Lytechinus pictus: one gene and its partner. The protein of the gene in region 1 binds, or shares a complex with, the protein of each later gene. Links are inferred from orthologs where the notes say so. Each region holds a gene or a part of one and is shown on either strand. Other genes may lie near its edges.

Region 1 (16,295 bases):
CGATTTCCTTATACTGAATTATGATAAATTACAACACCTCTTTCCATTCTCATATACATAATTACTTCAACTTTCACATTAATTTCAGTGTGACTTATGGATTTTATTTTGAGAAAAATCAAAGAATGCACTGAAATTACAAATATGCTTACTTTGGTGAGGAGTCTGTAACAGGTGCTGATAAGACCTTCTCATTTTGCTTGTTACCCATGAATAACTTCTTGGTTACATTGAACAATGATCGTTGGATACCTTTCCTTGATGCAAGCTATGGAAAGAAACATAGAGGAATTCAATAATTGATACAGTTACGTAGCTCATTATTTAAATGTGATTCTGGAAGGTATTGAACGTATTGCACCAGAAATACTACATAAATGCTACTAAACAACATTTAAATGTAATGAATATCATTATGAGTCATCAGCTCATAAACAATCCAATAAACACAATATATATACATAACAACAATCAAAATATTATCTGCAGGAGACTAAAAAACACACAAAACCAACAAAGAAAACAAAGCAAAAAACAAATATGTTACAAGGAATTACTACTAGAGTTGGAATAAAACAATATAATATTGACAGGTTCTGCAAAGAAAACAAAGAATATGTTGCCTGCGACAGAACCATATATATCTTTGATGACAACAATATGGTTCTTTCCAGGACAACCTATATATGTTCCGAGCAAGTCAACATCATTGTCAATACCTACATTACCTATGTAAAATTATGCATAATAACAATGTATGTACACATCAGATAACTTGTCAGTCTTGTTGATTCACAGCTATCAGGCATTTATGACATACTGGCTAATCAATTCTGAAGTAAAATACTTTGCACACTGTGTGGTAGATCTTACCTGTTCTGTAAGAGTACGAATCATCCTTTCTACGTAGGGCAGCAGACCCCTCACCACAAATTCATGGATGAATATCCTCAATCTATCGTGATCACTCAACGTTAGATGAGCCCCATGGGTGGTAGAGGAGCCCCCTCCTGTGACCTTCACAGCATTGGCTACCTGACTGGCAGGCTTGGACGGGATAGAGTTACTCCCGTTAGCGTTGCTGGTGATGATAGGATCCGTCCCGATGTCTGTGAGGGGGTCTGACTGGGTTGGTGTCAAGGGGTCTGTCTGGGTGGTTGTCAGGGTGTCTGATGGGGCTTTGACATCTGCTAAAGGATGGGAGATAACCTCATTTGAAGGCGAGGTATCAACTTGGACCATGACAATGTCCTCTGGGGATGGGTCATTAGGACCATCTAAGAAAAACAAAATGAGGGAGAAAAACTTCATCACAGCTCCATGCAACATGGATTAAACAAAGGAAACAGTTATTCTGATTTTTTTTTAATAAGAATTTATGTAATGATTATTTTTTCACATTTACTTTTCATGTGATCTTTGTATCTGAACTTAAGACATCTTTTAACTGGCAGTTTATTGGTTGAATTATTAATTGCATCAAGTTGAATGCAAATTGTGTTATTCAATGATTTATATTTCCTTCAAACCAAATTTCAGGATTTTACCTTTAAAGAAATCTTGTTGAGAAGAGATCAAAACCAAATTGAAGATGTACAAACTAACCTTCTGAACTATTTGGTGTGAGTACCATATTGACATTGTCATTAGAAGTACCCTCTGAGACCTGATCTGGAAACATGGCTGGATCACTGGCTGGTACCGCATCTACTTCAACGGGTTCCTAACAATAATAATAAAACAATTACTCAGTCAACTGTAACGTATCTCCCAAAATTGCAAGATTCTCTTTGACGAAGCTCAAACCTTTTCTAGTTCTGAATATATTAGCCACATTCATGAACAAGACCACAAGTTTTACACGGGTTTTATGATTGCTACCAGTTAGTATTCAGTAAGAAATACAGGGCTTCGTTTAAGGACGGTAGTCATTCACCGACAATTATCAAAGAACGGTGCATCTCAGTCAGATGAAAATTTCATATGATTTCCCAATGCAAATGACTTGTCTATTCAAAATGAAATATTTTCCCATTGGAAACAAATAATTGCTAACACTATTCCCAAAATAATTCATGGATACTCTTCTGGCTTCATTTGAATTTCACAAAATGAATAGTCGAAGGCTTTCTGAGATGCTAATCTTCATGCATTACAATCTTTCAACACATATCACTTTAAATGATAGGAGTATATTGAAATTAGACTCGCAGCCCATAGCATAAAAAAATACTGTAACTGTACTGTTCAATATTAACTTCCATGAAATGTTTGATTTTTGATTGGCTTTTGAGCCCTGTATGGCACATGTAATTATCATTGGATAGCAGAATTAGTGACTTTTATGTTACGGGGCCCTGAACAGTTTTGACTAACCTGTTGGTTGACTTTATTTAGATACTGACTCCACGGATCAGGCATTGAGTTCTGTTCAGCAGTTACCGATGGATCTACAGTAGTCAGTGCTCTAGAATTGATCCTTAGAAGATGACATGCATGACTGCCGTAGGTAGACTTCATGCTCTGATAGATTGCATCAGCTCTAATCAAACAGGAAAAATGAACAATGAAATAAACGTATCTATCAAACCACTTCAACAGGATAAGGGTTTTTTTTTCAGTGTAGAAAGTATCTTTCAAGATTATATTTTCAAATATGTTCTGACTTATGTAAATGCATGTGTGTAAATTGATATTCAATATACAGTGTACCACTTACATTAACACAGCAAATCCATACTGCCTAAATTATAATCGAACTCGTAATTGATGAACCTCACCCCCCCCCCCCCCACCCATTGAGAATTGTGCAGATGCACTATGGATTCTTTTCTGGGAATTGGTTGAAATATGATAGTTTATATATACAGTATAAATCATGCAATATTCAGAAACTATGTTACTACTGCAGCAGTAATCTCTCCCAAAAATCAAACAAATCAAAACTAAACAAGGCTAAACAAAATTAAAAGAATATAAACAAGAACAAGCAAACACTCTTCTTCGTTCTAGTAACTCTACGTGAGACTCACTTCTCCTCTTCTCCTTCTGAGTTATCATGAAGCAGGACATAGTATTTGAAGATATTAGGACAGAGCCACTTAGGATGTGAAGCTGATGATGTGTGTTGAAGATGATGTTGCTCTTGAGATAACTTGACAAACTGATCCATTGGATCTGCATGACCTGTTGATACTACAAGCATACCTGTGGTTTCTCCATTAAGGAAATAATGTCATTTCACATCTACAAATGATTAAAAAGAACATAATATGATTAATTTATTCTTTTTTCTTACATATAACAGATCACCCCCAAGAGATGCTGAAGGAAATGTATTATTTATAGTTGACTACATGTAATGCACTCAAATGCACTTTTAATCCCTTTATCCTCAGTATCGCTTGTTTTCCTTTGATCAAGTCATACTCAGTCGGACCAATCCCAAGAATATCCTCTCTAAAAAGCAACGTGTTAAAAGTAATAAGCAAGAGGCAAAAGAGCATTTTGTTCAGGCGGTAACGGAGAAACCCCCTCAACAAGTCACTCACATTCATGACTGAGAAAGGATACAAGCCACAAAATGTCTGATGAATTCATGGTCACAAGTTGCCATGCTCTGCAAAACACTTTCCCTATATGCTTCATACCATGGAGTGGAGGCTGTGGAAACGAACAAAAACAATTCAAGAAAGGTATGAAACATTTGGAGGAAAGGGATATACATGTACTCTATAAACCTCGGTTTGTATTAATCAATTAATCATATCTCTTACATTACATTACACAAACTTGTTTAAATCTATTCAAACATAATATATACAGTATATATGAAAAGTGGTGCAAAATAACAGGTGGTTCACTTTCAGTTCCACTGTACATTGTAGGGGAACTAAATGAGTATGTGCATTCAAAGAAGGGAATTATGCATTTGCTACGTCAAAATTATATTTAAAAAAAAAGCATTATAATTGAATTCACTCAATATGTTTGAGACAAAATGTGTTTTAACAAACAGATGAAGAGACATGAAAAAATTGTAAGATTTTTAATGTGACAATCAATCCTTTTATCTTTTTATTGTTCATTGGGTCCACTGTAATTTTTTTTGGGGGGGGGGTATTATGTTTTGCTTTATTGGTCCTTTCATTTCAAAATAAACAAACATTCATAATATTTAGAATATACAAAAGACATCCACATATAAAAAAACAAGTCTAACATACAATGAAATAAATAGAAATGAAAGTGAATCACATGGAACAGATCATTGGGCCCACTGTTCCAAGCATGCAAGTGAACCAAGTTCATTTTGGCACAATATTTTAAAAACAATAATGTTCAGAGATGCATGGGTCTTGAAATATTACCAAAGTACCATTTGGTTGCTAGGAAAATGGACTTTAAAAAAAGAAATGATATGATTTCTGTCTTCACTGATTTACCATCTCTCAAGAGAGAATACATCTTCAGCCTTGCTCACACTAGGCGATTCATTGCAATCCGAATTTCCAAGAAATTGTGATAACATTTGATATGGACATTCCAACTAGTAAAATCTTACGGATCAGAGTTCAGAACAGTAGTAGGACTACTGAAAGCAAAATTCAGTCCAGTTCGAGCCTCCCTGAATAAATAAAAACAAATTCAATTCCAAATCGTAATGACGTCATCATCTGCTGCAACTTGAAGCCGATTTGGACTTTACTCCGACCACAGGGGTTGCCGCAAAGTAAAAGTATGATTTCAGTATTCCTAACATCATGCCAAATTGTAAATAAAATGATTTTACTTCTTGGAACTTTTACATTTAATGCAAAATGCAATTTCTTGAAAAATAACTTTGCATCGGATCGCATAGTGTTAGCCTGGCTTACTATACATGCAGTAGATAACTTAAGTCCATAAAGATCAAGAACCTTTACACTTGACTTTACATTGAAATTGAATGAATAAACTCACCACTAATTTGCAGGTCATAGGAACCTACTGTCAAGACGTTTGCTCTCCCTTCGGTAGTAGGGACTTGTGAATTCTGCACAGCATCATAACAGAGTTTGCGATGAATACCAGCTGATGGAGGCTGTGTGTTCATGTCATTCACAATCAATCTTAGGTTATGAATAGAGTGAGGCTGACCAGCTGGGTCTCTAATGTGAGCTGTGAATGAGAAGCAGTAAGGGAATTATGTTTTCATGATAATGCAGCTTTGCCCCATCTCTAGACACAAAATCCACTGTATGGATAGATAAAATCCATTTTTATTACTATTATGTATGAAATTGAATTCAACACTGTTTTTCTGTGGATTTACAATGGTCTTTACATAAAAGGGCTCCAGGCTTGAGGCAAACGAGGGAAGAGGAACAAAACGTGTTAAGAGACCCATGGCTTAACTTAAAACTTGTCTAGATTAAGAATATTCTTTTCTTAAATGGACCACGTATATCATCAGCCTGCCCATGTCCAACTAAAGACAAGATGGGGGTGCCCATGTCTAAGAATCTAGAAAAAAAAAAATCCAACGACACATTCTGGCTAAATTTGTTACTATACCCAATAACCATTATAACTGCCAGACCAAGTGAATATTTATTGTCACAATGCACTACTTTCAGCTTGGTCTAATTTGAACTTTTATCAATTTTACAACTGAAAAATTACTATTAGTATTGGGAATCAAAGGTGGGATTTGAACCCATGCCATTACAACAGTGCAGCTTAGAGATCTGACCCCTACACCTTAAACCACGAGCAATTCATGGCAGGTTGGAGTTTTCTAAAGGTTTTATACCAAACCACACTGTATAATTCTATACCTCAACATCTAATCTATTCTAGGTAGGATTCTTGACAATTTGATTGCTGGGAATATTTGTTAATTTTTACCCACAATCTCCATAAAAATGTAACCCCCCCCCCCCCCTCTGCTTGGCAAGAGACGAGTGTGCTTTCGCATGACTGTCCGAATGAAGCAATATTCCACAACCTGCTCATTGGTGTATAAGCCGAGGCCATGGAGGCTGCCTGGCTGGTGCCAAGTTGGGCCGGTTGCAGGGAATTTGTGGTTCCCTTTGTGTATTCCTTTGGGCACCAGTCCAAAAGCACACTAGCCAAGTGCATTAATCCCCTTGAAGGACAGCGCCAGGCTCCAGCTCAACCTCAGGCCAGGTTAGGCTCCTACATGCTAATCAAAATTTGTGAAAGGAAGTTCACCCTGAAAAAAAATATCAGTGAAGGTTCGAGGAAAATCCATCAAAGATCAAGAAAAGTAATATTAGAATTTTGAGTTTTTGATATGTGATGTCATAAGCGAGCAACTGCCCCAATGTTATAATATAAATATGCATCTTAGTTCTTATATCTAGATCTACACTAAATTGTCAATTTTCTTAAGTTTTTAATGTTTTGTGACTTCTTTTTCTTTCAGCAGCAGGTGTGAAATAATTTCCCTATTGATATAGATTTAAGGAATAATAAAAACAATTTTTAATCTTTTTTAGAAAATGAAATTTCATTGATTTTCAGTTTTAGTTTTACCAATTTTTTAGATCTAGATCTAGACCTCTACTAGACTATATCTATATCATGATCATAATTTAGATCTAGGGTCTGAATCTGAATGGTTGGGTCAGTAAAATGTCTTTGACGAACACATCGACACCAACTTGTTGAGAATAGCGCACTGTTTGGAACAACTTTTTTCTATGGCTGTTTGCATAGACTCACTTAGGTCCAACCTTTTTAGGCCTAACTTCAGTAGAGGCGCTGGTCCAAAAATTGGGACTGGGGTTTCCAGTATCTGCAGCTGATGAATCTGTGTACATCCTGACAGACATAATGCCTTAAGTGAAGTTAAGTCTTCTGGTTATGAAAAAGAAGCTCTTGCTTTTAGGACAGATCCTGAACGTTGCCCCTGATAGAACAGAATGAAGGCTATTTCTTCATAGCATCTGTGCCAAACACCCCTTCAGTTCAACAATGGTGCCTTGTTCTCAGGATGCTTAATCTTCCTCCGTTAGATGAGCTTTTGGTAAAAACCTCCAACCTAAAGCCTTTGGTAACACATGGTGGTGTTAGCAGTGACTAGAACATCAGAGTCCAGGCAAAGTGAGGCTCTCTCTGTAAGAAAAGTTCACTCTCATTATGAACCAGAAGACCAAAGCCTAAGGCTACTGACTTGTATCCTGGACATATAGCTAATCCCACCCTGAGACCAGCTATCACCATCAGAGCCTAGATCTCATGCAAAGTTTAGGCCAGACTTGTCAGAATTAGAAAGGGTTCTGATGACATCTGTCAACCATGTTCCTAAATAGAGAAGATGTTGAACACTGTCTCATCCTGTCCGGCCACTGCACCTGTGCCCCGTGACCTCATCAATCGCATTAAGGACAACGACAATACCGCACAATTTGCAGGTTTATTTGAGGCAGACCCCCAGTCCTTTCTAGAATGTATCATCCTCTTTCTTCCCCCTGTACGCATCAGCAGTGCCAGTAAAACCTAGCTCCACACTCTTATTTTATACTTCATTCGCAATCTTCACACAACTCACCAAAACCTTCTCAGCAACCTAACTCTAGCAACCCATAGGAAGCGTCTTCAGTCATTTTTTTTTACTGTTATCAGCGATCTCCGACATTAACGGAGGAAGGAAACAAGAGATTGTCCCGGAAAAAAAAAAGGATATCCTCAAAAACCAAGACAAATCATGTCTTGATAAATTGAGATTGTCCTTGTTTATTATGGGGACAGTTTTTTTTTTCACTTACCCCTGTGGGACACAGATGGCAATTACGGGGATTGAGAGTGCTAAAAATAGATTCAGTGACCTCAATAACCCCTAGATCACTGTCTATTTTTCACGACTTGCCATCTTCCAAGTTCCAATAATCTTGTTATGAAACCTAATGAGTTTACATTGACTAGCGCACTCAATTGATGTCAGCACTTGACAGGTGAATGAAATTTTCCTAGATTTCTTGTGTGGAGAAATCTCTGAAAACTAAGACAAGAGAAGAGTGAGACAGTCCCTGAAAACTGGGACGATCCCAATTTTCTGACCAGCGCCTCTACTGAACAGAACTTAAGCAGTTGGACTCTGTCATGATGTCACAAAATGACAAATCAAAATATCAATTATCAGTAGAGGCGCACGGCCAATATTGGAGACTGTCTCCAATGTGGGAGATTATCTCCAATATCAGAGACTTTTGTAAAGAATTTGGGTATCCAATTTCAGAGACAGTCTCCAGTTTTGGAGACCTATTTCTTTGTTTGCATTTGCTGCAAAAGGATTACCTTGGCGGCAAATAAAAATGTGATAAGCAGATTCCTCGTGAAAATTACCCCTTTTCACCGTCTACTTTAAAAATTCACCGTCTACTTTTGTTTTGATAAGGATTTTTGTTGTCAATCACACACAAAACAAATGGGCTTCTGACCTCAGTGAAACAAAATTTTGGGTGGAAAAAATCATGCTTTTGTTGGTGTTGTTTCTTTTGTCCTTTTGCAAAGCAAGTCTCCAATGTGAATGTGGGAGATTGTCTCCCCTATTGGAGAGAGAGTCTCCCATATTGGCCGTGCGCCTCTACTGATTATCATAATTCTAACTTTGGATTTTCCTAAAACCTTCACCGATATTTCATTTATACAAATTTTTGTCAGGGACAGGGTGATTTTCACAATGTTAATCATATTCATAATTCATTTCACTTTTTTGTTTTTTTCAATTTAGGCCTAGATCTAATTCATCATGAACAGGAGGAATACCTTCTGAAGTTAGTCTGCAAAATGGCCTGACCATTTCCACAAAAGATAAATTGTTCTTTTGTGCAAGAACTTCTGCATCATGACTGCATGCAACTGCCACAGTTGGTCCAAAAGTGTTCTGAATAAACTCCCTGGCACTTTGCGAGCACTGCGCCATTCTCATTGAATCCGGCGTCTGATCCCGAGACAAACACAAAACTCAAACTACACTGCACAGCTTCTTCTTGTCCTCCTTGCTTTGAAAGTCAACATATAAATTATGATAATCACCACATGTTATCACATATCCGTCTGATATCATCAAGCCTAGCAATCTCAGCTCTCCCAGAGCCAGTATTTTCCCCTTTCCCTTTTTTTGCACAAGTTCAGGCTCAGCTATGCCTATGATCATCCGATGAAACAGGCAGTCGCCATTATTTTGCACTAGCATACGCCACACTTCGCTACGCCAACGGGTGAGGATAGGAAACACCACATAAAAGAATGTAAAATAGGGAACCAGCGAAAAAAAAGTTAGAAACGAACGAGATGGCGCTTTTGAGTTTTGTTTCAAGTTCCGTTACAGTCACTGAGATTCTAATGCCACTGATTGCCCATTGCCTAATTAAAATTAGACAGATATTCATTCGTATATTATTGATGAGATGTTGATACACTAAATACATGTATGTTTATGTTTATGACGAGGTCTGGGGTCAAATTTTGAAGAAAACATGGACCAATGGGAACCAATTAGCAGATATCATCGCTCCAATTAAGGGGGGCGGGGCAGATTAGTCCACTGTTTTCGGCTGCTCAAGATCTTGGTTGGGGTATTTCGAAGTCCTAAAGACTTGAACATGATGATAACGTTTTCTCTATTTCATCCTCCCTTAATTTTATGTTAGTTTTTTTTTGTTTTTTGCCCCTCATCCCCTGTCCATTGCGGTGATAAGGCTAGGGTTGCAATATTCCAGCTATATAGGGTTGAAGTTTGTCATCCATAGTGTTTGAAATTTACAGCGGAGCCGGGGCAAATGTCATATAGAATTATGGAACCACTATGCGATCCGATGCGACGCGATTTTTTTTCAATAAATTGAATTTTGCATTAAATGTGACATTTCCAAGAAGCAAAATTATTTTACTTGAAATTCGTCATAATGTTAGGAATTATAAAATCATAATTTTGCTATGCGGCAAGCCCTGTGTTCGGAGTTTTGTCCAACTTCGGCTCCAAGTCGGAGGCGATGATGACGTCATTGCGATTTGAAATTGATTTTGCTTTATACCTACGGGGAGGCTCGATCGAACTTGACTGAATTCCGATTTCCTATCACAATTCTGAATTCTGATTGTTAAGATTATATTGGTTGGAATGTTCATATCAAGACTGTTATTGCAATTTCTTTGAAATTCGGATCGCAACGAATCGCATAGTGGGCTTTATTCATCCTTTAATTGCCATTCATTTTTTTTATCATTTCACGTGTTCCCCTCTCTCTCCCGCTCTCGATCCCGCCTATAGCATATCATGTTTTAAGGGCCTATTTTCTCATTTTCTTTCAGTACCTTTTCTTTCCAATGTTCCTTCACTTTCCTTCATTCCCCCATTCTTCCGGTTTCCTGCCGCCTCCCCCCTCTTTTTTCCTCCTACCCCCCCCCCCCCCCCGCGGCTCTCTCCCTCTCTCTCTCCCTCTCTTTTATTAGCCCTACTTTTTTTCCTTTCACCCTTTCAGAGTCCTTTTTCATTAGTCTGCCCTGAGTAGGCATACTTTTCATTTTCTCCGAGTCTAATTTCCCTTTAACTGGTGAATTTGAAAAATTCTAAATGAAAATCCCTCAGGGGCAGTAAATTGTCCATGTCCCCTCCAACGTGGGATGTTGCTATACGCTACTGATAATAACAGGGTATATTGCAGAAAGTGCTTACCAATGCATTCTACAAATAAAATTACATTCATGATTATAAAATTATGGTTACCGAAAATTATATGTGTGTGTGCGTAGGGAGGGGGGTGAGGTGGGTTTGTGAGTGAAATAACCCCAAAAATCGAATTCAAAAGAGAGAAACAAAAAAAGCTCTTGAAATGTTAAAAAGGGCCTACTAGCGTACCTAAGGGGGGGCAGGGGGCAAACTGCCCCCCCCCCTGACGAGTCACAGGCAAAAAATAAAAAATAAAGCGAAAAAAGGGAAAGAAAAGAGAAAAAAGGAAAGAGAGAAACAAGGGGGAAGGGGCAAAAGAAGAAAGAGTTTCAGAGAAAGGGAAAACAAACACTGGACTGCATGCAGACTGTCGGGAAAAAATGATAAACTCACGACGTCGCCAATTTCGTCGTGAATTTGTTTTGCTTGCCTGGGCGGTATGCGGGTTGAAACCAATTCGTCTGCTGCTAATTCCTCCACTCACAACAGGGTCTACCTTCATTTAGTCTAATGCAATTTTGTCCATCAACTTTTCGCCTAACAACCATATGGTCCAATAACCATTTGGTCCATGTCATCACTTCGTCTAATCACCACTTCGTCTATAACCATATTTCGTCTCATGATAACTAGCTGGTCTAATATCAATTTTATTTTCCTTAATTTCGCCCAATTAACTCTTAGTCCAATTAGACCAAATGGCATATGGACTAAATGGCAATTGGTCCAACTGGTTATTAGGCGAAATGGCAGTTAGACTATGTGGATAGTGGACGAATTGATGGTAGACCTAATGATAGCAGACGATCGAGTTGGCATTAGATCAATTGAAAATAAACCATTGAAACGACAGAACGATGTCCACTGCTATCCATATGCATAGGCGGATCCAGGGGGGCCCAGGGGCCCAGGCCCCTCCCCCTACTGGCGGAGCAAAAAAAAGGGGAAAAGGGAAGAAAGAATTAAAAAAAGAGGAGGGAAAAGAGAGGAGATAAAAAAGAAGAGGAGGAAGACGAGTGAATAAAATAAGATGAGGGGAAGACGTGGAAATAAAAAGAATCTTTCATGCCACTATATAAAATTTTCGCTTGCGCTTCACGCTCGCATTGCCTGTTAGGTGATTTTCATATCTTGTTCCAGGGGCTGATCCAGCCTTCGCCAATAGGGGGGGGGGGGCGGAATTAAATTGTGAGGTGGATAATAATAATAATAATGGATATTTAGAGGCGCTAAAAACAAAAAGTACCATAGCGCGTACAATATATGAATAATAATTTAACATTTGCAATAATTACTACAATATTCAAGATAAAAAGGGAAAGTAATTATTGAGGAAAAAGGATATGGATCGCACTTAATAAAGAGTTGATATTTTTCATTATAATTACTTTGAGTTTTGACATAGGACCGGCACATCCTTACACTGCTAGAAAATTTGAATAAAAGAAGTTCCTGCAGCAGAGTCTCGAGAACACCTGTAATCTTACCAGATTGCGTAATCTTACAGGAAATTGGTATTTGGTGTATGGAACTTTACAAATTTCCTTAAATAAAACAGCCTTTTCCCCTTTTTAAACAGACCTGTTCTATTAAATTGCAGAAAAAATCCTGTTTTATGAATTTACGGAATGATTCTGTTATTGCTTTTGCAAAATCTTCTGTTTTTTCTGTAAAATCAGGGCTTTTTTTTAACAGTGTAGGACATGTCATCATATGAAAATGATGACTGTCTTCCTATTACTCTTGCTAAGCGCGAGATGAAACAAAAGGGACAATTCAATTATTAAATTAATATTTTATTCATTAATGCCTAATGAGGGCGCGAAGTCTGATGATATTATGGCCTGAAAACTGGACATTTGAAGCACTTTTGTAACTATAAATAGGATGCATCAGTCAATATATTTCTAACCATTAATGCGAGCGCAAATTGCGAGCCTTAATTGTCATGAAAAGGGGAATGTACATGTATAATCAATATTGAGACATACATTCAAAATGCGAGCGTGCAGCGCTAGCTGATACGTTTTGACAATCAGACCTGAAAAGGGATATTTTGAAAACTTTATGGAATACACGAAAATAATAGGTACCTGATGAATCGAAATTTGCGAGCGCGCAGCGCTAGCAGAAAATATTAATATTCAGACCATAAAACTGTCATATTTACAGAGCACTTTTTAAAAATCAATATGTAAATCACGCAAAAAGATGAAAGTTTGATTCTCGAGATGAAATACGTTTTGTATATTGACTTCCAAACTTGATATTTAAACTCCGTATTGAACAAGATATGAAAATCCCCGAACAGGCAATACGAGCGCGAAGCGCGAGCGAAAATTTTATATAGTGACATGAAAGATTCTTTTTATTTCCATGTCTTCCCCTCATCTTATTTTATTCACTCGTCTTCCTCCTCTACTTTTTTCTCCTCTCTTTTCCCTCCTTTTTTTTTATTTATTTCATCCTTTTTCCCTGTTTTTTGCTCCGCCAATAGGGGGGGGGGGGGGCTGTGCCCCTCGGCCCCCCTGGATCCGCCTATGCATATGGATAGCAGTGGACATCGTTCTGTCGTTTTCAATTGGTCTAATGCCAACTCGTCTGCTATCATTTGGTCTACCATCAGTTCGTCCACTATCCACATGGTCTAACTGCCATTTCGTCTAATAACCAGTTGGACCAATTGCCATTTAGTCCATATGCCATTTGGTCTAATTGGACTAAATGTTAATTGGGCAAAATTAAGGAAAATAAAATTGATATTAGACCAGCTAGTTATGAGACGAAATATGGTTATAGACGAAGTGGTGATTAGACGAAGTGATGACTGGACCAAATGGTTATTGGACCATATGGTTGTTAGGCGAAAAGTTGATGGACAGAATTGCATTAGACTAAATGAAGGTAGACCCTGTTGTGAGTGGAGGAATTAGCAGCAGACGAATTGGTTTCAACCCGCATACCGCCCATCAGGCAAGCAAAACAAATTCACGACGAAATTGGCGACGTCGTGAATTTCGTCGTCAATATTCAAATTGGCGACGTCGTGAATTTCGTAGCCAATTTCGTCGTGATTATTCGCGATTTGGTCTATTTGTGATGTCCCTTCAGGCACTAGCGTACCTAAGGGGGGGCAGGGGGGCAGAATGCCCCCCCCCCCCCCCCACAAGCAAAAAAAAAAGGAAGCGAAAAAAGGAAAAGAAAAAAGAAGAGGAAAGAGAGAAAAAAGGGGGAAAGGGGAAAAGAAGAAAGAGTTTAAGAGAAAGGGGGAAAACAAAAACTGGACTGCAGAGTGCAGACTTTTTTTAGTTCCACCATCTTTGTAGGTAAATGTCAATTAAACTGTACACTTTTATCGGTAAATTGTGATTTTTACGCAATGCGACTTTTAGAGCTCTCTGTACCGATAGTGAGGACGGACTGGGCTGACCAGGGACAGGAAAAAGTTAGAGTACAACTTTTAGGTAATATAATTATAACAATAAAAACTTCGCGCGTAGCGCTCGCATCAATTTTTTTGTTGGATACCTATGATAAATGTCTAGCTTTCAGATTGAAAATACAAAAATTTTCAGCTCGCACTTCGTGCTCGCGTCAATTGATTAGTCAGAAACCAAATGTTCACGGTTAAAAAAAGTGCTTATAATATCCAGTTCTTAGGCCGGAATATCAAAAATTTCAGCTCGCGCTTCGTGCTCACATATACTGTTTAGATATATCCATCCTGTTCATAGTTAATGAAGTGCTTAGAATGTCCGGTTTTCAGATAGGAATATAAAAAACCAAAAATATATCATTAGAAACCAATTTGTTCACGGTTACAAAAATTGCTTAGAATATCAAGTTCTTAGGTCGGAATATCAAAAATTTCAGCTCAAGCTTCGCACTCGCATAAAATTTCATCCTGTTCATAGTTAAATGAAGTGCTCAGAATGTAAAGTTTTCAGGTCGAAATATAGAAAAAATTAGCTCGCGCTTCGCGCTCACACATATTAATTGTTTTTAACTACCATTTTGTTCATAGTTTAAAAAAAAAGTGCTTAGAATGTCCTCTTTTCAGGGAGGAATATCTCGAATTTTCAGCTCGCTCTTCGCGCTCGCATCAATGAATTATTCAGTTAGAAACCAATTTTTTCATGGTTACTAAAAGTGCGTAGAATATCAAAAGTTTTAGCTCGCGCTTTGCGCCCGCACGACTGTTTAGAATCCCATCCCGTAAAACTGTTTAGAACGTCTAGTGTCCAGTTAGGAATATCAAATTTATTATCTCGCGCTTCGCGCTCGCGTAATTACCTATTCATCGTTTTAGGTCTAAATTTTTCAGAAAAAATTCAGCTCGTGCTTCGCGCTCGCAATTATTATTTTTATATTATTATTTTTTAACTTAATTTCAATGTCAAATACCTCTTTTATAACGTCTCCAAATGAAGAGAATTGGGAACATAATGTAAACACCTTCAAAGAGGAATAAAGAAGTATTTTAATATAAAAATTGCAATTACCACTTAATTAGAAATATATCGATCACGATCCAATACATTTCATTTCTGGATCACGATCCAATACATATCATTTCTGGAATGATATACAAAAAAGAATTAATTTCGACATTACAGTGCAATCGCCCAATAGCAAATATCAGTAGTAGCAACATCCCGACTGTTTTACCCCCTGGGTCCAAAACGTCCAAACGTGTAAGGGGGTGGGCTGCAAAATGCAGGGCAACGAGGACTGCGAGGTGCCCAAATATCCTCGTGTATTGGTAATTTTATGACCGAATGTTTAATTTCTGCACGTTTCACATCATGTAAAAAGGCTAAATAATAATTGAAAAAAATGTTCGCTCGCTCGAAAATTAAAAACTGTGAAGTTGATATTTGATTATCAGCCCCTTTAAAAAATTGTGCCTATATACGTCCATGCCTATTACCCCCCCCCCCCCACCTTGCTCATCCTTGTCGTCTCCCCCTGATGAAATTGCCAGGAACGCCACTGCCTTCAGGGCCACCACAGTTTTTACAAATGGAAAATAGTACAGAAAATTTGAACTAGCACCAAATACGATTTAGTGCATGAGACAACAAAAAAATCGCACCCAAAAGAAGGAAGTTTAGGTCAAATCTGTCCATTATATAAACCGAAGTTTAGAACCCAAGTTTAATAAACATCTTGGCGGTGACTCAACACCCATACTTCTCTTCGGGAGTTTGTTTATTACCCTTCATAATGTAGTGTTAAAAGAAATATAACGAATAGTCCGAATAGTAGTGAAAAGACTGGAAACACAAAAATATTGAAAGACATAGATTTGAATCTGAAAATGCGCGCCACTTCCCAAGCTCACTCTCTGCGCTAGCTCGCATTTCCTCATTTCTCCTTCTAAAAACCCCCATTTTCCAAATTCAAATTCTATTCGGTTTATTGCATACAAATTTCAAAGAATATAGAAAAATGCAGGGGAAAAAACAAATAGGCCTACTTGCGAATTAACAAAATAAATCAAATAAGAACTATCAAAATTATTGAGAGTAATTATATAAGATTAAACATTTCATCGTCGGTGATAAATAAGTTTGCATTTCCTGTACAGGGAGGTAATAATGTGCTCACGAGG
Region 2 (16,575 bases), on another chromosome or scaffold:
TCATTTTGCTAGAACAACCGAGGATTAATAATTCCCACTATATTTTCAAAATAAAGGCCTGGTATATTTGTTTTATATCCTAAATTTAATAAGGTAGAACAATAGATCTTGATAATCTAGTTTTTGTACTTGCTGTTCATCTTTTTTAAAAATCTGAAACAAAATATAGATAACGCAACGCGCTGACTGTCCTACTTTTCCTGACGTCATGTGCTCAGCAGAGCGCGAGTCTGTGTCTGCACCATCCCTTCATGGGACTTGTCCGGTAGAGTCAACTCGCTGACTGCTGCACCCGAGAGAGTGCATGATCTATGTCAATGATAGAACAGTGTACTATTCCATCATTGACGTCACGGAATAGTAAATTTTCTTCAGTGGGCGTTTCATTTTCAACATCATCGCAAAATAGTGAGGGGGTTAAATCAGCCTCCCAGTTTTATTAGGGTTAATACTGTGTTAATTGTGTAGAAGTGTTCAGAATATAATACTCACCAATAACCTCTTTAGTCCATGTTCATCTCTCGTGACTTGATTCACAGTGAGCATGGATCTCTTTGACGATTCCTGTTCACCCATGTATCTCTGAACAAGCTCTTTGATTGGATCACCCTGTTCAAGCAAATTTTCAATTATTTAGTTTTAATATTTGGACAAAGTGTATTCAGTATCTTACTTCTTGGGGGGGGGGGTGGGGGCACTCAAATTATATTTTGATGGGGGTGTGCCTCACGAAACCCTGAAATAGGGGTCTAAGGAACTGTCTACATGTACAAGGGTAAAATCCGGGGTCTTGGGAACTACATGTAAATATATATACCGGGCAGTGTGAAAAACAGGGTCTACAGAACGGGATCGCGGTACAGTGGGTACGGTGCACGCTAGCGCTGTGCATGTAATATGGGGACTCCAGCGGTGCATGGAGCTGCTAGCGGCAACTTAGGAGGGAGTTGTGAATGCTTGTGTGCAGCTCTTGCATGCGGTGCTCGCACTGGACAATTTTAGCAGGGCTGGGGAACTGAGATTTTTTGTAACAGCGGTATTGCGAGCGGGGTGGATTTTGAAGGAAACTTTTGTAATTCGGATTATCTAGAGAACTGAAAAATTAGGTCTGAAAAAGGGGGTCATCAGAGCGGCACGTCCCCGTACCACCATATGTTAGTAGTCTGCTATGCAGACTCTGAATGGCTCGTGAAGTGGGATCTGCAGCTGGTTTGCGAAGCAAACCAGCCTGAAAGGGCGAGCGAAGCGAGCCATTTCAGAGCCTCCAGTAGACCTAGTCTGCTATGCAGACTCCTTGAATCAGCTGTGATACACACACTGCAGATGTGGGTCTACAGTTGTAGACTAATATGTTAGTGCCCCTCCCCCCCGAGGACTTCTCCTAATAGTTTTTTTCTAAATTGATTCAGAGCCCTAGAATTAATTAGAGAAAAGGACACTACACAAGTTGTTACTAGTTACTCTTCACATTATCAGTATTATTTATGTTCAACATTTTAAAAACATGTTGAAATAACAATAATCAACAAAGTTTTGAATTGGCAATGCTGTACATGTAATGTATGTCTTCCCATAAAAAAATTGCAAACTTTTATTTGAATATTCTTCATCAATTACTATTTATTTCAGATACACAAAGTTGAAAATCAGGATTAACACAATATAAAACTGTTGCCTTTTAAAGGAATTAAAGATAAAATGACTTGAAATTAATAATCAATTGTCCAGAAAAGACAGTGCGTCTTAACAGAGAGAAACTAATCCTATATGTAAGTTGACCTCAACCAATCTTCTACACAGTGCAAGTTTTTTTTTTTTAAAGAATCCTACCGAATATATTCAAATCCAGCAGTGATAAGTTTGAAAAAAATAAAGCCCCTGTTCCACTATGCTGCCGTACTTTGGCAAAGGAAGCAAGTTACATATCATTTGTTGTAAATGTGAGTTCGTCATTTGCATAGGCATCAATGCAATTTAACAGCATATTTTCTTCAATATCTTTCCATATAACAATCAATTTCCCCCCAAATTTTGCCTGAACATGCAACATACAAAGGGTGTTTCAGAAGCACCAATAAATCTAATTTGACTGATGTGTCACTTGCTTCCTTTTGCCAAAGTTGGGCAGTATGCCTACGAAAAAAACCTTCAGATCGGGTAGGATCAGAAGGAAAATGAACCACTTTACCGGGAGTTAGTGAAAAATAATTTGGAGTAAAACAACTTTTCCAAAAGAACGAGTCTGCATGCCGCTGTTACTGTTAGTACGCCAGGAAAGACTTGATTATTCTCATCTCATGACTGCGCACCGTGTTGCTTAAATGCTTTTTCCGCTTCCCCCACCATTCAAAATGGGCGTTTTCTGATCGGGAAGACCGGCATGAAAGTGTGAACATGTTCAAATTTTTAGCGGAACACGCCAATCTGAATAACATGACCGCTTGTACCCTGTCTTCACGTTATTACGCTGCTCCTGATTTCAACAGATTCATATCCCGCTCTCCTGATTGGGATGGATCGGGGTTTCAGATCGTGAAAGTGGAATGGCCCATGAATATCAAAGTGACGAATATAACAGACACTTTTTGTAGACCTTTAGGGTTATTTTTATCGTAAATGTTGAGTACGGCAGATGAAACCTAGTAATCCCTATAATTTTGTGGGGAATTTTATTTAGTATGAATCCGATTGAATTTTGAATATGAAAATACATTCCACTGAGTTCTTGATGAGTAATAAGGGGGAGCATTTCATGGATTATGTTATTAAAGTAGATATTTGCAATTGCTACAATCTTCACATCTTATTGGCTGAGAACATTGGTCAGTGAGTATCACCGACAAAACTTTTCATGAAATGCTCCAGTTCTTACCTGTGGCTCTTCAACAATTATACCAGGCATAGTAAGCTGATCCCTGATCACGTATTCTGATCCTTGCTGAGCGATACTACGATTCTCCAAGATCCTTTGAGTGGCTTCTGATGGTATCCATGCATCGTGCCGACGATCACTCTCACTGGTTCGGAGTGCTTCCACAAATGGATCATCATCTTCTTGGGATGTGGTGGACTGAAACGGCACGTGTGGCCTGACATGGTTGGGATTGACAAGACCAGATGGAGCACTGAAGGATGATACAAGGGGTGGAGGAACCCCCAGCGAATCTGTTGAGTCAGTGACAGTATCTTCTTGGGAAGTGTGTGATAGTGGTGGTGTAGTGCTGGATTCATAAGGAGATCCCAACTGCGTATCAGGAATGGTATTATTATCTTCGGCACCAAAGCTTGTGCCAGCATCAATTAAGACCTGATCAGGAACAGTCTCTGGAGGTTTTCCTCCAGCAGCAGGAACATCCTTGACACCTTGGTCTGACATGGCTGCAGCACTGTGTATACCTTCTTCCATCACCATTGCCTCGGTCTCAGGACTCTCAAGGGAGATTGTCGTCTCAAGTCTTCCCTTCACAGATTCTATTTCTCCATCCGCCATCAGGTCATTCTTTGCTTCAAAGCTCTCATTCCCCTGATCAATGCTTTGATCATCTTTGTCCTCCTCTGACAAAAGGTTTGTTGAATCCATGCTCATTGTGTCCATATTACTCCCACTCCCCATCTTAGCATCTTCTTCAGTGAGCAGATTTGTGGAGTCAATGCTCACCGTCTCGCTGTTATTTCCAGCTATATCTACCATATTCGTTGGGACTACATCCGATAAGCCTAGAGGATCCTTCATAAACTCCCCACCTTCTGGTGACACCGGTGTCGCTCCAATGGATGAGGGTGGTGTTGAAAACAAGTCGTTCTCATCTCCGTGCGCACTGGCAAATGAATCAAAGAAGCTTCCAGAGCTCTGAGTCAAGCCCTGGTCTTTAGCAAAGAAGCTTGCTACTGATGGCTGCGTGTCCTTTACAACTGGTTCCTGCAGAGCAGGTTTGTTCTGACCCATTCCTTCCTCTTCATTTCCTCTTGTTTTATCATTAGATTGTTCCATATTGATTTGAGGTGTACAAGTAGGATGCTCCATGAAGGGACTCTCTACAGGAAAACTTGGTGAGGAGGGCTTGTTTGCTTCACTTTGAAAGAAAAGGCTTGCATCAAAAGGCTTGGGATCTGACAACAAATAAAAAAAAAATATGTATGACTATTAAAACTTAGATTTAATCATAAAAAGGAAATTATGAAATACACTATTAACACAAAAAGCAGTAGATAGTATTTCAAATTCCATATTCAACAAAGCACCTTGACAAAGACCTTTATCAGACTGCTCAACATGTACATTTCTTTGATTAAGGTTTTTGACTATTAAATATCAGAACAATATTTCATTTTTCTCAACTTCAACTTCCAACATGATGTTTGATTTGATCATCTAAGCCCCATGCTGAACTTTTTCATGTTCTAAATTTACTTCACACACATGATTATTTCTACTTTGTTCAAGTACATTAAAATACAATTTTGCTCTGTTAAGTAACAACTTTCTCAGAATAGACTAGTACTGTACATGACTTCTGGGATGGGGTCACAGCTGCTGAGCACCACGACACTCATCAAGTGCTATGTAATCTACTACATTGCATTATCCATTTTTGCCAACTAGTAGGATTTTTAATATCAATCATATTTTATACTAATTATGAATTGAAAATTACTAATATTGCCCTTATTCAAAGAGCTCCTAGAATTATGTTTTTTGTCTTAGTATTCTTTGTAGCTCACTTACATATATACATGTAGCAATCGCATTTGAAAAAATATCAATCTACATGAATAAATTCAAAATCAATTTCTTATGCAATTTAGTCTCGAATATCTATGTATATTTTTGCATTTCGACATTTCGCCTTACTTGACTTTTTTGGCAAAATTTCTTGCACAACCTTTTTGAAGAGTAATCATGCGACAGTATGAAAGTGAAAATAGTCATGCATGTATCCAATATTATTGACTTTGTACACAGAATCCAGATCTTTATTGAGTCATCATCAGTCTAACAGGCGTCTAGAAATAGGTGCAAAGCATGGTATCAGTACATGTATGCCTGACTTTTCTGAAAAATGGTTTTGAAGTAAGAGACAGTGAGCGGTACAGTCAAAAGATTACGCGTGGATGAAAATATTGAAGGGGGTGGGTTACTATCCCCCTCCCTCACCAGCCGTTTTAGGTTTAAATCGGTTCTCCTCCTGTTGTAATCTTTGAAGATTCTGCATTAAAGCAAAATCTGACTGTCAAGCATCTGAGCCATACCTGTTTTTGAAACATCGTCTTGTGCAGTTTTCTCAGTCCCAGCCATTTTATCATCCAAGTTTGCTCGATCATCAACTGTAGTCTTGCTGCATTTGCTATATTATTAGAAGAAATTAATGTTAAAGCAATGTCGGTTTAAGAAAGCCTAGATTTGTAAAATAATTTTGATCTATAAATTGTTCTTCAAAAAGGCATTTTGTAACATCGCTAATCGGATGTACGTCATCACAAGGCGGTTCAAGGGTCAGACCTATTGTATTTGCTTTTGTTGACAAACGGATCGAGGGATCTACACGAGATCGGTCTGGTAAGAAACCTTCAATTTTTAACATTTTTATTGACCAGTTTTTTTAAACCTTCCTACGCATTAGGCGTAGCCGTAGGAAGGTGTAAAAATAAATAAAATCACCACCATTTACATGATTTTTATCTTAAAAGATGGATTTCCTAGGGAAATCCATCTTTGTTTGGCAGTCTCTTATTATCATGATTATAGCCTAGTTATAATATATGGCCGGTGGTTCGAGGCTCCATAGAGCTCTAAAGAAGTATATATGTCAAAATATTAAAAAATATCAGACATGGAGTCCTCAAGGCTAACACCAATCCCCAGCCACGCACAGATGCAGTTATTCTAGATCTAAAAAAAGTAACAATAACATTTCCTTTTTTTTTAGGGTCACCAGCATGTGTCATCAGGAGTTAGCAAGGCATACCAACTCCTCGCCGTAATGAAAAGAACCTTCACTCAACTCACAAGGACAACTCTGCCTCTGCTCTTCAAAACCCTAAGACCCCACCTTGAATATGGGAGTGTCCTCTGGCACAACAGATACAAAGAAGATGCAAGGAGGATTGAAAGGGTCCAAAGAAGGGCAACCAAGCTGGTTAGAGAGCTGAAGAACGTCCCATATAAAGACAGACTTACAAAATTGAACTTGTACTCCCTGCTGTACAGGAGAAGGGGAGACATGATCTTCGTGCACCAGCAGTAGAGGCACACGGCCAATACGGGAGACTGTCTCCCATGAGAGAGATTATCTCCAATATCAGAGACTTTTGTAAAGAATTTGGGTATCCAATTTCAGACAGTCTCCAGTTTGGGAGACCAATTTTCTTTGTTTATATTTGCTGCAAAAGGATTACCTTGGCGGCATATAAAAATGTGATAAGCAGATTCCTCATGAAAAATTACCCCTTTTCACCATCTAGGCCCTACTTTAAAAATTCACTGTCTACTAGTCTATTGTTTTTATGAGGACTTTTGTTGTCATCCACACACAAATGGGCTTCCGACCTCCGAGACAAATTTTGGGTGGAAAAAATGATGCTTTTGTTGGTGTTGTTTCTTTTGTTCTTTGCAAAGCAAGTCTCCAATGTGGGAGATTGTCTCCCTTATTGGAGTCTCCCAATATTGGCCATGCACCTCTACTGACCAGAGCTAGGACCTAGATCTTTTAGAAGTAGAAATCTTGGGGGTGAAAGTTTCAGGTTTTGGCTTCCTTTGTGTGGGTCTATGAGGTAGAAGTCCTGGCTTCGTATGAGAGTAACCTTACGTTAGTATTATGATTTTTACTCTCTGTTAGAAGCCGCCTGGCTAAGCCTAGGCTAAGGCTAAGCCAGACTCTGTGTCAAATGTCATTTCGGTAGACCTTGTCCTTGCCTTGGCTTCATCGAGGTACCGTAATTGCATAATTTATTTTTCCCCTTTTATTTTGAGTGCTATTGCGACCCCATTTTAAGCCATTTTGAAGAGTACCCTTGTACTTGTCTGCCTAGTTACACGGACGACTCCTGGGCTCCAGCCCGGTAAGGAGTAGACCAAAAGCTTCAGTCTCTGTAATTTGGTTGTTCCGCTGAACTACGTTGGCTCCACTCACCATACATAGACTGAAGGGGATGGGGCCCCGTACCTACAGCCAACGTATAGTGAACTAGCGTTTTATAGATCGCGATTTAAAACTGTTTTTTAAGCAAAATTGAAAGTTTCATGGTTTCCATTATCAGGGAAATATAAATAAATTAAGTAATTGCATACCTTGGGCCGGAGTTATTGAAAAAAATCCTCTGGATGATTGAGAAATCTGTCATCTAAGACATTTTCACCTGACCTGACCGTTTTTCTAGCAAGTTGCCATCTTGAATGACGTCATTATCGTTATTAACTTAATGTCTCGAATCGATATATCGCGATTATAACTAGTACTAGTACTAGTATAACTAGTATCGTTTATCTTCGGTTTCGTTTGCATATGGAGCAGATCGTATAATATCGAAAGCAATATCGATATCACATTCGTGATTGTTGACGTTCGTTTGTAAATATTTTATAGTTTGGCTGCCATTTTGACCATTTTTATCGTGTTCAACCCAATTAAACATCGGTAAAGTATATTTTTCATGCCTTTTTCATCTATATCGTTTAAAGTATTTAAATATTCGAATATCAAGGTCTAAAAGTTTGTTGTTTATACATCCTTAGATTGTAAATTCGATGTGTAAAATTACATCAAACTTTGGACTGTGAATTGACAAAAGGGAGGGAATGAGAACACATGCGAGCCCACACGTACACCCTACCGTCGGTAAATGGGGATTACAGTAAAATGTCAGAAATTGTTGAATAAATCCCCAGAAACGACGGTTATTCCTGTCTAGGTAAGGAGTAGACAGCTGGCAGCCGTCTGTTTCGAGGAGTTTTTTAACATTTTATTTTTTTTTAATTTCTCCTCATACACAGACGGCTCGCTAGCGTGCAGCCACCATTAGGGGACTTGCAATGCAAAATCCCCCCGTCGGGGCTCTTCAATTTTTGTCTTTAATGAGTAAAAATTTTGAAAATTCACGCGACCAAAATGCAAATTAATATTCCCTCTTGGCATCAATTGCCAAAAAACTGAGAAAAATCAAGTTAAAAGGAACAAAAACAGTGACTTACCTCGGCTGTCGCGCAAATTCACTTCCCCGTTTTATCCGATCTTAAGTACATAAACATATGGCCATTGAGTCCCCTGTACAGATCGCGCTAGAACTTCGGTCTCTGTATTTGGTGAGTGAAGCCAACGGAGTTCAGCTGAACAACCAACATAACACTTAACAGAGACCGAAGCTTTTGGTCTAGGTAAGGAGCTGCGCTGCGGGCGGGAGCGAGCTCCCTGGCCCTGGGCCGGGTTACCGGCAAGTGCCGCGGAGTGGTACGGTACCGGTACGTTAGGGTTAACTTAAGTTAGGCGTCCTTCACTCAGTTCAGTACAGTTTTGGGGAGTCATATTAAGTTACATGCGAGTGGGGTACGATAGATATAACTGTTACCATATTTGATTTGACTTACCAGCTCGTTTAAAGGGGTTATTTCAGTCTTTTAACGTTAATTATTACCGATTTAATTAGAATTTGGACCAAATCTCCGGATCTGCGTCGGGAGCAAGTATTGTTAACGTTCCAGCTATAGAATTGAATGCTGCCCTCTACCGGTACAACGTTCGCGTTAAAGGGGAATCCAGCCTTGGTCATAAAATGTTGTGTTGGAAAGAAGAAAATGAATAAAAAAGAACGGTGAAAGTTTGAAAGAAATCGGATAAGCAATAAGAAAGTTATGGCTGTTTTAAAATCGAGATCCCTATACTATGTAGATTTCAAATTGGCAAATGAGTAAGAAAATTATGACAAGGGGCAATGACAACTTTCTCATAGGCCATTGTACTTAATTATCAGGGATTTGCGGTTTTCTCCTAAGTACCCTTTCCCTTGGGGCAGTAATCTAAATATGACCCAGGTAGCATATTGTTTTATGTCCTCATGAAAGAAAATTACAATTTGAAGTATGACTTTTGAAAATAATGACATTTTAGCCATTTCGTGTATTTCAGTACATGGAAGAGTAGTCCTTGCCTTAAATCACTATGACATCATATATGCGGCCAATTTGAAGTCTCCATGGTATAGTGAATACCAATATTTACAGCTTTTAAATAATCATAGCTTTTTTATTGTTTGTCCAATATTATTCAAACTTTCACCTATCAGCTTGTCTGAATTTACTTTTTCCTCTAAAAACAAGTTTTCATTTGGGTTGGATTCCCCTTTAATACTTAGGCATCATATCACAGGCCTAATTCATTTCCCATAGACTCGTGTGTTAAAGTGGCACTTTAAAAAGCATTCTTAAAAAAATAAGGAGGAAATTCGAGGGTTAAATGTTTACTATCACTCGATAGGATAAATGTCTGACATTCCATATCTGACCAGAAAAGGGTACCTCGACCGGCTCATTTTAAAAATAAATCAGCATTTATGAAGACTACACCTGACGGGATCTCGACTCCACCGACAGGACCCGTAATTCTGGTACGGGTGTGGGAGGGGGCTCTTCTTCTTTGCCTGTCTCTCTTTCATTCATTTCAAATCAGTTTTTTCTATCTTATCACTTCTTGATCACATAAATCTCTCTCGCTGTTTACGGGTCAATATAACCCCAGAAAATATATCTTAGGCCACTGAGATATTGGAATTGTATAACTAATCTTTACAAAAAAATGCAGATTTTTTTGGTGCTTGGTACACTAGCTGAGAATTCAAAGTACCGAAAAACTTATTAAAACGTTATCCCCTCGTTTGTTAACAATTTTTTTTCGGCATTACTCCTATTTGTTTAAGATCAGTATGCTCGATCTGTAAATGAAAATCATAAGATCAGTATGCTCGATCTGTAATGAAAATCATATGATCATAAGTCAGAAAAAATTGGAACCAGTGGGATTCGAACCTGCCATCTACTGCTTTCCGGGCAGCGACTCAACCACCAGGCTATTCTGGTTCACGGCTAAGCCACGATGAACTGGAATTCAAATACCCTCGATCCTCTTCTTTCTGACTCATTAATATTCAAATACCGTCCGCCGTGGACAATAGATAGTAAATTAAGAGGCTTTTTTATAGGAGGAAATTATAATTTGTTAACAAATTTTCGGCATTACTCCTATTTGTTTAAGATCAGTATGCTCGATCTGTAAATGAAAATCATAAGATCAGTATGAAAATCATATGATCATAAGTCAGAAAAAATTGGAACCAGTGGGATTCGAACCTGCCATCTACTGCTTTCCGGGCAGCGACTCAACCACCAGGCTATTCTGGTTCACGGCTAAGCCACGATGAACTGGAATTCAAATACCCTCGATCCTCTTCTTTCTGACTCATTAATATTCATTAATATTCAAATGCCGAAAATTTGTTAACAAATTATAATTTCCTCCTATAAAAAGCCTCTTAATTTACTAGTTATCCCCTCGTGTTATAATGTTTTTATTTTATATAATATCTCATAGATCGTCGATCAACAAACTTGTCGTTTTCGGGAAGTAATCCCCCTATTGTTTGTTGATATCTTATACCTCAGTTATTTTTTGTTTCACATGTATTTATTTTTTTAATAGAAAAACAAGAATAACTGGATATGAGAAGTCAATTTTCACCAACTTGCCCCACTGCCTCCTTAAACTTATTGAAACTTATTGAAGCATGAAGGAAGCTGACAAAATTAGAAGATAGACCTGGAAGCTCGACTGCTAATTCAGCATTCTTCCAGTATTTGCGGTAAGGTAAGGTAAGGTAAGGTAAGAATGAATATAAAAGAAATTAAAAAATATAAATATAATGATACTAAATAAATTGTCACCCTAATTTTCTTACAGTGGGTGGCATAAATAGTCAATATCATGACGTATTGCCCATAAAAACAAGCAATGGAATGAATGTCATCATAGAGATATACACTAATAACTACTCTATAATCTCTATGGGTCAAATTCATCACTTGAGAGAGTAAAATGGCCCTAATTCTTCCGCCAGCAAAAATAGTTGGTAGTGATATATCTTTCCAATTTGGAAAAAGCAAGTTCAGTAGGTACCCTCCCTAGAATCAGTGTTAGATTGTCAATCATATTCATTCATTTTCGTCAATCAGCAATATCAAATTAAAAAATTTATTGAGAATGGGTTGGGTCGAATGAACATTTTTTGCCTGCCGGTTGTAATTTGATATGAAATTTTGATTTGATTGAAATTTTGCAAGAAAACGACAATTTTGTCGGATATTTCATGTCCCGCAAAACCTCGTCATCTAGGGCACGAGTGACGACATAAAATCACAGTGCTATGATGGTTGCAGGCTGAAGATAAAGAAATAGGCCTAAACCATAATATTTTCCACATCCTACAAGAAAAGCTCTCAATTTTTTTTTGTAACAAACCCAGGTCGTACCTGTATTCAGAGTCATTTCCCAACGTACATGTGTATTTGAAGAGCTCACTTGCAAAAGAAGTTAGGTCAATTTTTCATCAAATTTTATTTTTTGGTCTCAATATATAGATTTTTAGTAGCTATATACATGTAAGATGATACCAAAGAAAATTCCCATCAAAAAGTGAACTAAAATGGCAAAGAAAAATCACTTTTTTTCAAAAGGGGTTAGGTCCATTTCAGTTTGGTTGCAAAAGGGGTTAGGTCGATCCACACAGATTTTTTCATTGGAAAAGAATATTTTAAAAACTATGAAGACAGGTAGATATTTCTTGTTACACCCAATTTTACATTCTCATGGTAGGGTATCATGAAAATTTAGTTTCGCATAAGATAAAAAAAAACGATTTCCTTGGAGTGGACTCCCTTTTGCATGTTTTGCAACCAAATTCTTTTGAAGAGCTCATTTCTCAAAAGGGGTTAGTTCCATTTTTCATAAATCTTATTGTTTTCTGTCTCAAAACCTCTAAATTTTTAGTCGCTATGATGATACCAAAGAAAATTTGAAATTCACATGAAAACGTGAATAAAAGCGGCAAAGAAACATATATTTTGTAATAAAAAAGGTTATGGATTCATTTCAGTTTGCTTGCAAAAGGGGTTAGGTCCGCAATGATATTTAAAAAAAAACATATAGAAAAATTTGAAGACGTGCAGGTATACCCAATTAACGATAGGGTAGTACATCTTTACAATTTTGTTTCTCATAAGAATATTGCGATAAGTGAGAATAAAAACGTGGCTTTTCTCGGAGTCTAACCCCTTTTGCAACCAAACTCTTCATTTGAGTTTTTTCAGACGTGTATATCAGTATCAATCGGATATTAGGCCTATTTACGTCTGGGACCTTTAACGTCGCCATCCGAAAGACGTGACCGGGGCTCGAACCTCTGCATCAATATTTGTAACTTCCCCACATACAGTAAATGATATAGCTTGGATTAAAGGCGCATGCCACAACGCCCAGTTAAAGGTCAAGTCCAGTCCAGAAAAATGATGATTTGAATAAATAGAGACAAATCCAACGAGCAAAACGCTAAAAATTTCATCAAAATCGGATGTTACATGCACATCTCAGTGACATGCAAATGAGACAGTCGATGACGTCCATCACTCACTATTTCTTTTGTTTTTTATTCTTTGAATTATACAATATTTTATTTTTTACAGATTTGACAAAAGAGACCAACTTGACTGAACCATATGGTATTATAAAATGTTAATTCCACATGTTCAGGGAGGAATTAATCTTTGTTTGACAATGAGGAGAAAATTTGAATATTTCATATTTCATATAATAAAATACAAAAAAATAGTGAGTGGATGACATCATCAGTCTCCTCATTTGCATACTGACCAGGATGTACATATAATTGTTTTGTGAAATTAAGCAAAATTTTAAAATGTCATAACTTTCTTATTTTACACCCAATTTAGATGAAATTTTCAGTGTTATGCTTGTTGAAATTTTCTCTTTTTATTCAAATCAACTAATGGTGGGGTGGACTCGTCCTTTAAAGGAGAATGAAACCCTTGAAACCAGCTGAATCCATATCAAAGAGAAAAATCAAAGAAACATATTGTTGAAAGTTTGAGGAAGATTGAATGAATAATAAGAAAGTTATGAGCATTCGAATATTGAGATCACTAGTGCCATGTAGATCCTCCCAACGGCAATGCGACCAAGATCTGTGATATCACACACGTACAACTCCCTCATTACTTTAGTACTTATTTCACTTATATTCTCACTTTTATAGAGTCTCTATCACAAGGTGAGGTGTTCTCTTTATGAGATGACAAGTACAGAGGTTTCACAACATTATATCATTGATGAATCGTTTGTCATATGATTAGAATGAGCAAAAAAAGATGTTTTGGGGTATATTTTCGGTGTCCAAATGGGAGAGTTGTACGTGTGTGACATCACAGATCTTGGTCGCATTGCCTATGGGAGGATCTCCATAGCATTAGTGATCTCGACATTCAAATGCTCATAACTCTTTTATTGCTAGTCCTATTTTACTCAAAGTTTTGTTGATCTTATTCTTTGATTTTTCTGCTTTCACAAAAGCTAACTTGCTCCAAGAGTTTCATTCTCCTTTAATGCCGAACTCCCGTATTAGATAGCTTGTTATCAGGGGTGTCGATCCATTTTTTAGATTGGGGGGGGGGGGGGGGGCAAAATCATGAATCAACGTTCCAAAGGCGCTCGATCACACAAATCAAACAACCCCCACACACAAAGGCCTATACATTATATATATATGACTCATGAGACAGAGACACATATCTCACCAACAATTAATGCGAGTGCGAGCTGAAATTTTTTAGTGTACTGACCTGAAAAACCGGAAAATGTGCCTGTTTAGGACTATTTGTAGTAACTCATGAGGAGGATACATATATTTCTACTCATATAATGCGATTGCCGAGAGCGAGCTGAAATTTCTGTATATTCTGACCTGAAAGCTTGATATTCTAAGCATTTTTGGGTACCAATGATTAAGATGGGTATCTAAAACAACAATAGATGTGAGCGCGAAGCGCGAGCTGAAAATTTTGATATTTCGATCTGAAAAAAATTGACAATTTAATGGACGTTTTTAATAAAGAACAGGATATATATCCAACAAAAGATTATTGCAAATCGAAGCGGGAGTTCTTTTGAGGTTTAGAACTGAAAATGGGACATTCTATTCACCTATTTAATCATGAAAAGTATGGATTTTTGCTACAGAAATGATGCGAGCGCGAAGCGCGAGCTGAAAATTTTTATATTCCAATGTGAAAAAGCGGGCACTTTGAGCACGATTTTGAATAAAGAACGAATTGTGTATCTCAATCTCGCTTGCTGATTTCTGTGTAACATTACAATCTTATTTTATTTTTGCACATACGGAATTATTGTATTAAATACTGGGGCGATCGCCCCCTGCCCCCCAGGTTCGAGGCCTCTGCTTGTTATTAATTTTGATGGCATAGTTAGAGAGAAGATCGTAATCGCTAGCAAAACATATGGCTCTATCGCGGATGGGATGTGGTAGGATAGGCATATTAGACCAGCAACGGTCCGAGCCGTCATCATCTCCGTAACGGCTGTGACGGAGATGACGGTTACGGAGCTTGCTTTTTTCTTACAAAATGACAATAGAGAATGAATGTGAATTTTGTTAATCATAATGCCCTATAATATCCGGTGCTAATACTTTAATTTTTCATCATATAAAAGATCTAATCTTAATTTAATCAGGGTAACATTTGATTACACAACATCTACGTCACGAATATATAAGTAGACGATTTAATTATCAAATATATTACTATAGAACCTGTAAATCGGATTATAGTCTTTGCATCCCCAAAGTTAAAACAAATTATGGGAAAAGGCGATTAAAATATAGAGGTGCAATTGCCTGGAATAATCTTACAAATGACTTAAAAGGAATAAGGTCCACCTTCAGCTTCAGATCACGACTAAGACTCCATTTAAATGAAGCTACCATTACGAATGTGCTTTGATTAAAGCTTTAATCAGACATATTGATTGAGATTTATATAATGATTTCACTTGGGAAGGGCGGGAAACAAGCGGAAACAAGGAATAATGATTTGTATATTTTTAGTTGTATACCTATGTGCATGATAACTGAATTTCAGTAATTTATATCCCACTTGCACTCTGTAATGTTAATTTATCCACTTTAGTTGTTTGTATCCGTGTAAATTTTTTTTTAAAGGACAAGTCCACCCCAACAAAAAGTTGAGTTGAATAAAAAGAGAAAAATCTAACATGCATAACACTGAAAATTTGACCAAAATCGGATGTAAAATAAGAAAGTTATGGCATTCTAAAGTTTCGCTTAATTTCACAAAACAGTTATATGCACATCCTGGTTGGAATGCAAATGAGGAGACTGATGACGTCATCCACTCACTATTTCTTTTGTATTTCATTATATGAAATATTCTAATTTTCTCCTCAATGTCAAGTGATACAACGTTTAATTCGTCCTCAACATGTGGAATTAGCATTGTTTAATAATACTCTATGGCTTAGCCAAGTTTGTCCTTCTTGTCAAATCTGTAAAAAATGAAATATTGTATAATTCAAACAATAAAAAACAAAAGAAATAGTGAGTGAAGGACATCATTGATTGTCTCATTTGCATGTCACTGAATTGTGCATATCACTGTTTTGTGAAAAATAGTGAAACTTCAAAATGTCATAACTTTCTTATTTTACATCCGATTTTGATGACATTTTCAGTGTTATGCTAGTTTGATTTTTCTCTATTCATTCAAATAAACATTTTTCTGGGGTGGACTTGTCCTTTAATGAATTACTTTGTTTGCTTAAAAAAAAACTATGATAATTTTTGTGTATTGAATATTGTAACACGGCCCCTTTGAAAAACAGCATTGCTGAATGGGCTTTTAACCGTGGTGAAATAAATAAATGAAATGAAATGAATGACGGAGATGGCATTTTGATTTTTTCTATAGCTACAAGCACTGAAAATTCAATGTTGATAAATTTGAATAAAACCTCCCCGGATTACGTCCAATACTTATCAAAGGCGATATGCAACATGATTTTCCCACTACACGAAAGATTGTCCATTTCTGAAGAACTTTTTTCACAAGTTTTTAAGGTTCAAGAGGAGACACTTCTCGGAGAATCGCTCAGCCTTAAAAGTGGTTCAAGGACGTTTCATGGTTAAAATGAAATCTATGTCATTTTCACCCAATTTTGCACAAAGATACCTTTGCACCTACATGAATAAAATAAAATAATTTTGCATTTTTAGACCCCGCGAGATCACAACGTGGGAGTTTTAACCTATAATATGCAGTCAAAATCCATCTAAAGAAATAAAAATTTATATAACAAAAAAAAAGCAAAAAGCTGCACTTTATTCAAAACCCATGCCAGTTTCACTAAAATTTTGCAGGATTGTATAGAAAGGTATACTAAAGAGGTGTGGATATTGGATATTGTGGGTTCATGTGCTTATTTTCAA

Evidence for each region.
Region 2: trafficking protein particle complex subunit 8-like (region 1) and trafficking protein particle complex subunit 12-like share a complex: the UniProt entries of both Homo sapiens proteins name them as parts of the multisubunit TRAPP (transport protein particle) complex. The link is inferred for Lytechinus pictus from reciprocal best matches to the Homo sapiens genes TRAPPC8 and TRAPPC12.

The regions. Positions count from the first base shown.
Region 1 is NC_087246.1:37,670,050-37,686,344, forward strand, and holds the start of trafficking protein particle complex subunit 8-like, read right to left. Parts: upstream 9,226-16,295; 5' UTR 8,939-9,225; coding exon 8,776-8,938; intron 5,161-8,775; coding exon 4,963-5,160; intron 3,664-4,962; coding exon 3,574-3,663; intron 3,208-3,573; coding exon 3,033-3,207; intron 2,543-3,032; coding exon 2,377-2,542; intron 1,724-2,376; coding exon 1,606-1,723; intron 1,278-1,605; coding exon 874-1,277; intron 269-873; coding exon 153-268; intron 1-152. UniProt on the Homo sapiens protein: Plays a role in endoplasmic reticulum to Golgi apparatus trafficking at a very early stage. Maintains together with TBC1D14 the cycling pool of ATG9 required for initiation of autophagy. Involved in collagen secretion.
Region 2 is NC_087261.1:4,620,094-4,636,668, forward strand, and holds the start of trafficking protein particle complex subunit 12-like, read right to left. Parts: upstream 8,740-16,575; 5' UTR 8,582-8,739; intron 5,346-8,581; 5' UTR 5,297-5,345; coding exon 5,251-5,296; intron 4,111-5,250; coding exon 2,873-4,110; intron 610-2,872; coding exon 493-609; intron 1-492. UniProt on the Homo sapiens protein: Component of the TRAPP complex, which is involved in endoplasmic reticulum to Golgi apparatus trafficking at a very early stage.